2 linked regions of the Oryctolagus cuniculus genome follow. The protein of the gene in region 2 binds, or shares a complex with, the protein of the main gene of each other region. Links are inferred from orthologs where the notes say so. Each region holds a gene or a part of one and is shown on either strand. Other genes may lie near its edges.

Evidence for each region. Proteins that work in one complex are often made in the same cells at the same time.
Region 1: EIF3D (region 2) and EIF3F share a complex: the UniProt entries of both Homo sapiens proteins name them as parts of the eukaryotic translation initiation factor 3 (eIF-3) complex. The link is inferred for Oryctolagus cuniculus from reciprocal best matches to the Homo sapiens genes EIF3D and EIF3F.

What each region holds. Positions count from the first base shown.
Region 1 is NC_091432.1:58,222,234-58,227,122, reverse strand, and holds part of EIF3F (eukaryotic translation initiation factor 3 subunit F), read left to right. Parts: intron 1-2,975; coding exon 2,976-3,046; intron 3,047-3,258; coding exon 3,259-3,338; intron 3,339-3,772; coding exon 3,773-3,910; intron 3,911-4,889. UniProt on the Homo sapiens protein: Component of the eukaryotic translation initiation factor 3 (eIF-3) complex, which is required for several steps in the initiation of protein synthesis.
Region 2 is NC_091442.1:113,759,495-113,764,550, reverse strand, and holds part of EIF3D (eukaryotic translation initiation factor 3 subunit D), read left to right. Parts: intron 1-423; coding exon 424-536; intron 537-1,325; coding exon 1,326-1,458; intron 1,459-1,936; coding exon 1,937-2,084; intron 2,085-3,057; coding exon 3,058-3,188; intron 3,189-3,816; coding exon 3,817-3,902; intron 3,903-3,986; coding exon 3,987-4,116; intron 4,117-5,056. UniProt on the Homo sapiens protein: mRNA cap-binding component of the eukaryotic translation initiation factor 3 (eIF-3) complex, a complex required for several steps in the initiation of protein synthesis of a specialized repertoire of mRNAs.

The DNA of each region.
Region 1 (4,889 bases), on a different chromosome or scaffold from region 2:
CAGACATTGGAACATGAAATGTAATCTACTGTAACCTTAAGCTGAAGATAGAAACACACATGAATACAGTGTGTAAGTGCTCTAATAGAAACTTGTTATAGTGTGGAAATGCTGAAGACATAAGTGTTTCAGAAAGTTGGGGAAACCGTCACAGAAAATAGGACACTTGAGCTGGGCATTAAAGCATCTGTGATGGGTGAGAGCCTGGTAAGACCCCTGTCTGAAGGATTCAGTGTGAGGAAAATGAAGGAGAGAGAGGATTTGTGACGAGAAATGAAACTAGCACATTGAGGAGCCATCAGAGGTATTAAATAACTGCAGGGGTCTAACTGCTGTGAAGGGTCGCAGGGAGCTGTGAGAAGGTGGGGGCTTCTTGGGGGAATGTCTTGAGCACTAGGCATTTCAGGTAAGACTGAGAATTAAAGATTATTCTGGCTGCTGGGTAGAGCGTGCGTAAGAGACAGGCTTTGCTGTGCATGGACACCAGGTGATAGAGGTTGTGCTGGTATTAGGGAAACACGGGTAGAGCAGGCAGAAAGGTGTGGGATAGTTGAGAGACAGGAATTAGGACTTGGTGTAACCAGAAGTGAAGAATTAGAGGAAGCGTCAAAGATGACTCCTCGATCTTTGATTAGATGTGGAAGAAGAAACAATGTAGAGATTGCTTTCAGTTTGGCATGTATTTCTTTTGCGATACCCCCTGAGCATTCCAGTGGAGTGTGAGGTAGGTAATTTTAGTATTATGGTCTGGAGTGCAGGATGTGTGGACAGGATGTCAGCTAAGGAATTAATGTCATTGGGTTACAGAGTTGTCATGGGCACCATGAAAACCAGTGAGATCAGCTAAAGCAGGAACTGGCAGACTGTGTAATGGGCCAGCCAGTAAATATTTTTGGCTTTGTGTGTAGTTGTCACAGCTACTCAACTTTGCCTTTATAGCGAGAAAACAGTTGTGCATGATACTTAAGTAACCACACTTGTGAAATTTTTTTTGTAAAGATTTATTTATTTTATTTGAAAGGCAGAGTTACAGAGAGACAGAGGCAGAGAGAGAGAAAGGTTCATTCCCCAAATGGCCACAATGGCTGGAGCTGCGCCAATCCAAAACCAGGAACTTCTTCCTGGTCTCCCATGTTGGGCCATCTTCTACTGCTTTCCCAGGCCATAGCAGGGAGCTGGATTGGAAGTGGAGCAGCCAGGACTTGAACCGGCGCCCATGTGGGATGCTGACACTGCAGGCAGCGGCTTTACCCACTACACCACAGCACCAGCCCCATACATGTAATCTTTTATTCATAAAAACATATCTAGGTCAGAGAAGACTGGTGATGTGGAAACCCATAGAAAAGAAAGTTTTAAAATAGAGGAAGTAGTCAAGTCTTTTGAATGCTGATGAGAAGTCAAATAGATAAAAGATTTAAATCCAGTGAGTTTAGGGACAAAGTTTAAGCTAAGGGAAAAAAAAAACTAAATAATTGGAATTGGACAGACTTTAGTGGATACAGGCAACATTATGATCTGTGGTAGAGCCGAAAGCACTTGAAGCCAGAGCTGGGTGATGCTGGTAGATTAAGAGATGGCAGGGCCAGCATTGTGCAGCAGGTTAAGCCACCACTTATGACACCAGCATCCCATATTGTAGTGCTGGTTCAAGGCCCAGCTACTCTGCTTCCAGACCAGCTCCCAGCCAATTCACCTGGGAAGACCACTGAACATGAGCCAAGTACTAGGTCCTTGCCACCTATGTGCAAGAGCAGGATGGAGTTCCTGGCTCCTGGCTGTGGCCTGGCCCAGCCCTGGCAGTTCAGGCCATTTGAGAAGCGAGGGTCTCTCAAATAAATAAATCTTTAAAAAGAAAGAAGGGAGAGAGGGAGGAAGGGATATAATGGGAGTAAAAGTGTCAGAACTTCAGAACTAAAAGAACAGAAGTTTGTGGTGAGAGACTGACAAGTAGAGAATTTCTGGAGATGGTAGGCTTGAGGCTATGACCACGGACCACATGGCTAAAAGAATGTACAAATCAGTGTGGTGTAGTAGGTTAATCTTCCACCTGCAGCGCTGGCATCCTATATGGGTGCTGGTTCAAGTCCTGGCTCCTCCTCTTCCAAAACAGCTCTCTGTGATGGCCTGAGAAAGCAGTGGAAGACGGTCCAAATCCTTGGGCCCCTGCACCGGCGTGGGAGACCTGGAGGAAGCTCCTGGTTCCTGGCTTCAGATCGGCTTAGCTCTGGCCGTTGCAGCCATTTGGGGAGTGAACCGGCAGATAGAATACCGTTCTCTCTGTCTCTCCCTCTCACTGTCTGTAACTCTACCTCTCAAATAAATAAGGTCTTAAAAAAAGGAATGTACAAATCAAGCTCCCTAAAACTGCTCAGACTAGGCACTGTCTCAGTAGACTGCATTGACTAAAGTTTTCCTGGGGGTAGGCATTTGTTGTAGTGGTTAAGATGTACATCCTGTTATCAGAGTGCCTGGTACTCGCCCCTCCCATGTCTGGATCCAGCTTCCTGCTAATGCACACCCCAGGAAGCAACAGATAATGGCTCAAGTACTTGGGTCCCTATCACCTATGTGAAAAACCCAGATTGAGTTCCAAGCTCCTGACTTTGAAATGGAATGAAAGTAAATCCATACAGGCTTTAGAGACCTTGTTGGTACTTCTGCAGATTCCATTTCATGGAGATGGTCTAGAGTGCATAGAGGTCTGCATAGGGCTGGTAGCGGAAAGTAAGAGGCAAGAAGAAACCTTGGGAAGGAAGGATGAGCCTTATTTGGTGATGGTCAGCCTGAAGAATTGGAGGTCATTGCAGAATCTCAGTTCTCTGGAGAATCCTGGGCCCAATGACGCTGAACTTGGAGCTGCTGAGTTCAGTTTGGTGTTCGGTGACTTAGAGGATACTTCCAAAAGCATCTGAGGAGTCGGAGGCTGTTGGGAGTCCAGGATTATAACCCCTGTCTCGTTCTCTCTCTCACAGGAACTGTTGACAAGCACTCAGTGGAGGTCACCAATTGTTTCTCAGTGCCGCACAACGAGTCAGAAGATGAAGTGAGTGGGGTTTGATCTGTCCTGCAGTGCGTGGCTGTTCACTGGCGAGGCCTCCCTCGATGCCCCTCCCATACAGCCTGTTGTGCTCATAACTGGAGCTCCTACAGCCAAGGGGTCTCTGCCATTCACATACTTTTACCCAAGTTTTGTTTTGTTTTGTTTTTTCTTTGGAGTTCTGGCTTCTTAGCTTGCTTTTCTGCCTTCTCTCTTAGGTGGCTGTTGACATGGAATTTGCTAAGAACATGTATGAATTGCACAAAAAAGTCTCTCCAAATGAACTCATCCTGGGCTGGTAAGTTGGGGATGGGGGTAGGTGGGGAGTCTCTCAGTGACTGCCACGGTCTTTACCACCAGACTAGATCCTGCCCTCCCTTTTTGGAGTCAGAGTATTGAAAGTGTGTTTTTTCAAGGAGCTATGAATTAAGTTTGTTTTGCTGGCAGTTCTGATCTTGTGAGGCCAAGAATATCTATCTTGGATTGTAGCTTTTACTGTGCAAGTTTTATTTTGATGTTGTTGTTTTGCCTTGCAGGTAACTTGCAGTTTTTCAAAAGCACTAAGTCAGCCTTGGGTTGGATTTGACAGTCGTGTATATATTGTCTTTGGCATTTGGTATCACTAGGTGTCACTATGATGGGGGTATCTCCTTAGAGACACCCATGCCACCCTTAGATTTGGTATTGGTGTCACATGCAGACATGAGTCCATACGTCTGTTCCTTTCTGCAGGTACGCTACAGGCCATGACATCACGGAGCACTCCGTGCTGATCCACGAGTACTACAGCCGGGAGGCCCCTAACCCCATTCACCTCACTGTGGATACGAGTCTTCAGAATGGCCGCATGAGCATCAAGGCCTACGTCAGGTGAGCGCAGAATCTCAGGGCGTAAAATGCTCTCTGGTTCCTGCTGTGCCTAGGTGACCGCCCCACCACCACCAGCACCAAGCAGGTTTAATTCCTTCAGTATCTGGCTTATTGCACTCTCAGCACTTAGCATTGGAAAGGTTTTGCTCTGAAACTAGATCTGCCACCATAACCTCCATTCACTGACCCTGCCTACTCCAGGTTTGCTCTTGGCCGGTTTCAGATGGAAGCGGTTCGGTATTTGAGCAAGCTGTCATGTTTCCTGTCGTCTTCTCCAGAGCCTCACTGTCCACACTTCCCATGGCCTCACGTGGTTTCCTTCTCACGATCCTTCCCCACGTCCACTACTCTTCTGAGATGCTTTTTAGTTCTTCTTTATCCCTAGAACTCAGCACAGCATTCAAGGTGGCACAGAGTAGAAGATGGCTATCTTTATTTTTAACACACCTGTAAACTCAGGATTGAATGCAATTTTGGTGACAGTAATAATACAGTCTTAGCATGTTGGGCTCACAGGCACTTAAAATGCCAGCTATTGAAAGGCCCTAGGGCCATGCTGAAGAAGCTGCTGCGGGAGGTGGAAGAATTAAGTCCCCTCGTTAGAGGAAAGGCGCCTCTTACACTGTTTAACTTTTTTTTAATTTTACTTGTTTATTTGAGAAGTAGATTTACAGACAGACGGAGAGACAGAGAAAGGTCTTCCATCCACTGGTTCACTCCCCAAATGGCCACAATAGCCCGAACTGGGCTGATCCAAAGCCAGGAGCCAGGAGCTTCTTCTGAGTCTCCCTCTCGAGTGCAGGGACCCAGGTGCTTGGGCTATCTTCTGCTTTCCCAGGCAATAAACAGGGAGCTGTACTGGAAGAGGAGCAGCTGGGACTAGAACCAGTGCCCATATGAGATGCCGGTGCCGCAGGCAAAGAATTAACCTACTGCACCACAGCGCAAGCCTCTCCACTATTTAACTTTTTGCTGTTTC
Region 2 (5,056 bases):
CTGAGGCTGTGACAGCCCTGTCAGAGGCCACTTAGCACTCCAGCTGCTGTGCGCCCAGCTGGTGGCCCTGGGAAAGCAGCTGATAACCCGGCACCTGGGGCCCTGCCACCCATGTGGGAGACCAGAATGGAGTTAAGACCTGGCTGTTGCAGCCATTTAGGGAGTGAACCGGTGGATGGAAGATGTCCCTTTCTCTGCCTTCAAATAAATAACATTTTCTTTAAAAAAAAAAAAAAAAAAACAACTGTAAAGGGGCCATTGTGTGTTCCCTGGGTGACAGCGGTCCCTGGGCGTGGATCCCATTCTTCGTGAGCTCCTGACCCAGGTACCCAGAGAGCTTGAGAGCCAGAATGCGCAGCCAGCGCGGGGCTCACTAGCAGCAGCCCTTCAATTCTCCTCTGTCTCGGCTGCTTTCCCGCACAGAAGCCGCGGGACTCCTCGGTGGAGGTGCGCAGCGACTGGGAGGTGAAGGAGGAGATGGACTTCCCTCAGCTGCTGAAGATGCGCTACCTGGAGGTGTCCGAGCCTCAGGACATGTGAGTAGCGCCGGCCTGAGCTGCAGCTTTGAACAAGGAAGAGGGGCGGGGTGGGGGGAGTGGTTACACTTGAGGCTTCCTTCCCCTCCCTGGAACCCCGAGCAGAGGAGATGGAAAGGGGGAAGAGAGAACGCAGGACAAGTCTGCTGGTGCTAGCTCCGGTCTCTGCCAGCTCCCTGGCACCCACAGCGAGGCACGCTGGTCTACAGCGTTCCTCAGAGGCAAGGAGCCGGAGCTAAGTGGGTGGGGACCCGGCGCGGCCGGAGTCAGCACACAGGCGCCTCTGGGACAGCCCAGCCCTGGCCCCGGGCTTCAGGCTTTAAGGAGGCTGGGCGGGCGCCATGGCCAAGCAGGTGGAGGCGTGGCTTTGGGCGCCCCATCCCGTACCCATACTCCTCACTTCCGGTGCAGCTCCTGCTGACGCGCTGGAGAGGCGGCAGGATAGCCCAGGTGCTGAGGTCCTGCACCCATGTGGGAACCCAGGTGGAGTTCCAGGCTCCTGCCTTCTGCCCGGCCCCGCCCTGTGGTTGAGGGCTTTGGGCGCATGAACCGGGGGATGGCAGGCCTGTCACCCTGCCCTTCAAGTAAACCTTTGATGGGGAACAGGTAGCACGAGGAGGCTGGGCGCAGGGGTTGCGTTTGCCCCGCTCTGTGGGGGCAGGGGCAGAGCCCACAGAGAGCACATCCCCCCGTAGAGCTCACTGCTCTCCGTCTCCGTGCCTCAGCCTCTGGGTCAGGCCTCGGCGGGCTTGGCGCCGCCCTTACCCTGTCTGTCCGCCTCTCCCACAGCGAGTGCTGCGGGGCCCTGGAATATTACGACAAGGCCTTCGACCGCATCACCACGCGGAGCGAGAAGCCACTGCGCAGCATCAAGCGCATCTTCCACACGGTCACCACCACGGACGACCCCGTGATCCGCAAGGTCTGCCCCCGCCCCGCCCTCCCCGCTGGGATCACGGCCGAGCCCCGGGGCCGGCTGAGAGCGGCACGTTTGTGTGTGTGGTTGGAACTGTTACGTAAGTCTTGGAGTCAGACTGACGGTTAGATGGGAACAAGGCCAAGGGCGGCCGGGGCGTAGATGAGTGTGGACAGTGCCTGACCCGGATCCCAGCCCTGCCGGGCCGCCTGGATTCAGCTCCGCAGCCTTAGTTTGCTCATCTGTGAAAGGGGTTTAGTGTACGCGGCCGTGCCGTGGGGAGCAGGGCGAGCCACCAGGGACCACTCGCCACAGTCTGCGGGGGCTCAGCCACGGTCCTGGTGACGCTGCTAACGGACGCTCCAGCTGCTAGGCTGCAGCCCTCTCGGGCACCCGGGGAGGCGTAGGGACGAGAAAGGCAGGGGCCGTGCGGCGAGCAGAGGCGGGAGTGGGCAGCTGGACCGGGGGTGTCTCGTCCTTGCAGCTGGCTAAGACCCAGGGGAACGTGTTCGCCACTGACGCCATCCTGGCCACGCTGATGAGCTGCACGCGCTCCGTGTACTCCTGGGACATCGTGGTCCAGAGAGTCGGGTCCAAGCTCTTCTTCGACAAGCGGGACAACTCTGACTTTGGTGAGGGGCTTTTCAAGGCACAGCCCGAAGGCCTGGGGGAGGTGTGGTCACAGTGGGCGTCTCAGGGTGTGCACGGTGTGTGCTGGTCACAGCGGGCCAGCCAACACGTCCCCTTCTGCGGTCTCCCTCTGCTGTGCACCGCTGGGGACTCCTTCTGTCCGGCCGTGAGTCGCTCGCCAAGCCTTGGGTGGCTTTGTTGACGGAGAATAAGCCCCACGTTGGAGAGCCGTAGGAAAGTGTCTGCCTCCCCCAGGTGTGGATGGCACCACACTCTGCTTCCAGACTATGTGCACTTTGTATTTCTGATTAAATGGAAGGCCCCCTGGTTGTTTTTTGCTGCAGTGAGTTTACCAAGGAAACAATACAATATATTTATTTGATGTGTAAATATGGATACACACACAGCCACAATGAAAACCAGGCCACTCAGAAGATAAAAGAGAATAATGGTGGTTGGTTGGTTTGTTTGTTTGTTTGTTTGTTTGTTTTAACAGCCAGTTAGTGAGAAAGAAACAGAGAGAAAGGTCTTCCTTCCGTGGGTTCATCCCCCAAATGGCCGCTACGGCCGGCGCTGCGCCAATCCAAAGCCATGAGCCAGGTACTTCTGGTCTCCCCTGCGGGTGCAGGGCCCAAGCACTTTGGCCATCCTCCACTGCACTCCCGGGCCACAGCAGAGAGCTGGCCTGGAAGAAGAGCAACCGGGACAGACTCCGGCGCCCCAGCCGGGACTAGAGCCCCGGGGTGCTGGCACCTAGCCTAGTGAGCCGGAGCGCAGGCTGGAATAATGGTGCTCTAAGCTTGAAGCCTGAGGCCGTTTCTTTGTTGAAAGGCTGACAGAATCAAGTATTCTGAAGTTACCCAAGTGTGTCACACAGTGGCTGGCTGTCCCATGAAGGGAGGGCCTGTGTCCTGGGACTGTCCACATTGCTGGGGGCTCTTGCCAGGGTGGGTGACCACGCTGCCATTTCCGCAGACCTGCTGACCGTGAGCGAGACAGCCAATGAGCCCCCGCAGGATGAAGGCAACTCCTTCAACTCGCCCCGCAACCTGGCCATGGAAGCGACATACATCAACCACAACTTCTCCCAGCAGTGCCTGAGAATGGTGAGCAGACAGGCGTGAGCTGACGGCAGCTTCGCTGCCACCGATTGCACCTGCTTCAGACTGGGCTCTGGGGTTATGGGATTGTAGGGGACAGGTGTGGTCCGTGCCTGTGGCCGAGGAGTTTTGGACTTGGGCTTTGAAGTCAGACTTTCTGGCTTTGAACCCTGGATTCCTCTACTTAATAGCTAGCTTGTGGCCTTGGCGTGTTTCCTCCCTGTAAAACTATAACACACGAGTTCTTTAACAAGTTTGTGGAAAATGGATTGAAAAGGTGTTTGTTTTGGTGCCAACAAAAATTTGAAAATGATGCATCTTCAACACATTTTCCACGAATGTTTTGAAGACTCCTTTTGTGTGGACTTCAGTTTTTTGCACAGAATAAACTTACCTTTTAATTCCATTCTCCAGACTTGTGAAGTCCCCTCGTTCTAGCACTTGTCTGACAGACATGACACTGCTCTAGGCGGTGGGACCAGCCGAGCCCTCCCTTGGGAGCGGAGCGGAGGGGCGCGGACGCTGGCTAGGAGCCGTGCTGTGGGGGTAGCACGGGACTGGCGCGTCGGAACTCAGTGCCGGCGTCGGGAGGGTGAGGGAACAGCAGGCCTGACGCCTGTCTGGCCTCCTGCAGGGGAAGGAGCGGTACAACTTCCCCAACCCAAACCCGTTCGTGGAGGACGACATGGACAAGAACGAGATCGCCTCCGTTGCGTACCGGTAGGCGCCTCTCGGGGGCGCGAGCTCCTGGCGGGAGGTGGGGCGAGGGCCGGGCCGGGACCCAGCACTGCTCCGTCCTTGCAGCTACCGCAGGTGGAAGCTGGGGGACGACATTGACCTCATCGTGCGCTGTGAGCACGACGGGGTCATGACCGGAGCCAACGGGGAAGTGTCCTTCATCAACATCAAGACCCTCAACGAGTGGGATTCCAGGGTGAGCCCCAGCTGGAGGAGCCGCCTCCTTCCGTCACCTTGACTCTGTCTGGTTTTCGTGCTTTGAGCTTTCCCTCCGCTTAGCGCCTCACTGAGCAGGAGCGTGGGCGTGTAGAACGCACTGCTTCAGCAGCCTCCGCCAAGCAGCAGCCCCCTTCCCCTGGTCTGTCCTCATCCCCGCTCCATCCTGACCCCTGTTGGCGTCCACCGTGTGCGTGTCCGGCTCCCGCCCCGCCTGTCGTCCAGGCCGGTGGTCTCCCTGCAGGCCCAGCCGCCTGTGCTGGACTCGGACGCTCGCTCAGCATCACAGGAAGCTGCTTCCCTCACGTCCTCCCTCGTGCTGGCGCGGTGCTGTTGGGCCGTGGGTGGACTGCGGGGGCGGCAGGGCTCCGGGCTGCTGTGCGGGACGGAGGCCCATCGGCAGGAAGCCCGAAGGCCCAGCTCTGCTGTTAGGTCTTCTATCCACTGCTTCACTCCCCAAATGGCTGCAATGGCTAGACCGATCTGAAGCCAGGAGCTTCTTCCGGGTCTCCCACACGGGTGCGGGGTTCCAGGCACTTGGGCCACCTGCTGCTGCCCTCCCGGGCCAGAGCAGACAGCTGGGTCGGAAGAGGAGCAGCCGGGACTCGAACCGGCGCTCATGGGATACTGGCACTGCAGGCTGAGACTCAGCCTACTACACCACAGCGCCGGCCCCTCTCTTTTTTTCTCATTTTGTTTTTTGTTTTCTGGGGGGTTTATTGGCACAGTTTAGTGGCATTTCTTTTTTTATTTCAGGGTACTCCTTTGTGCAGCCTTGTGTTAGTGCTGCTCTGCTTCATAACAGATGCGCCTCTAGAAAGAGCAGCTCCAGGGCCGGCGCCGCGGCTCACTAGGCTAATCCTCCGCCTTGTGGCGCTGGCACACCGGGTTCTAGTCCCAGTTGGGGCACCGGATTCTGT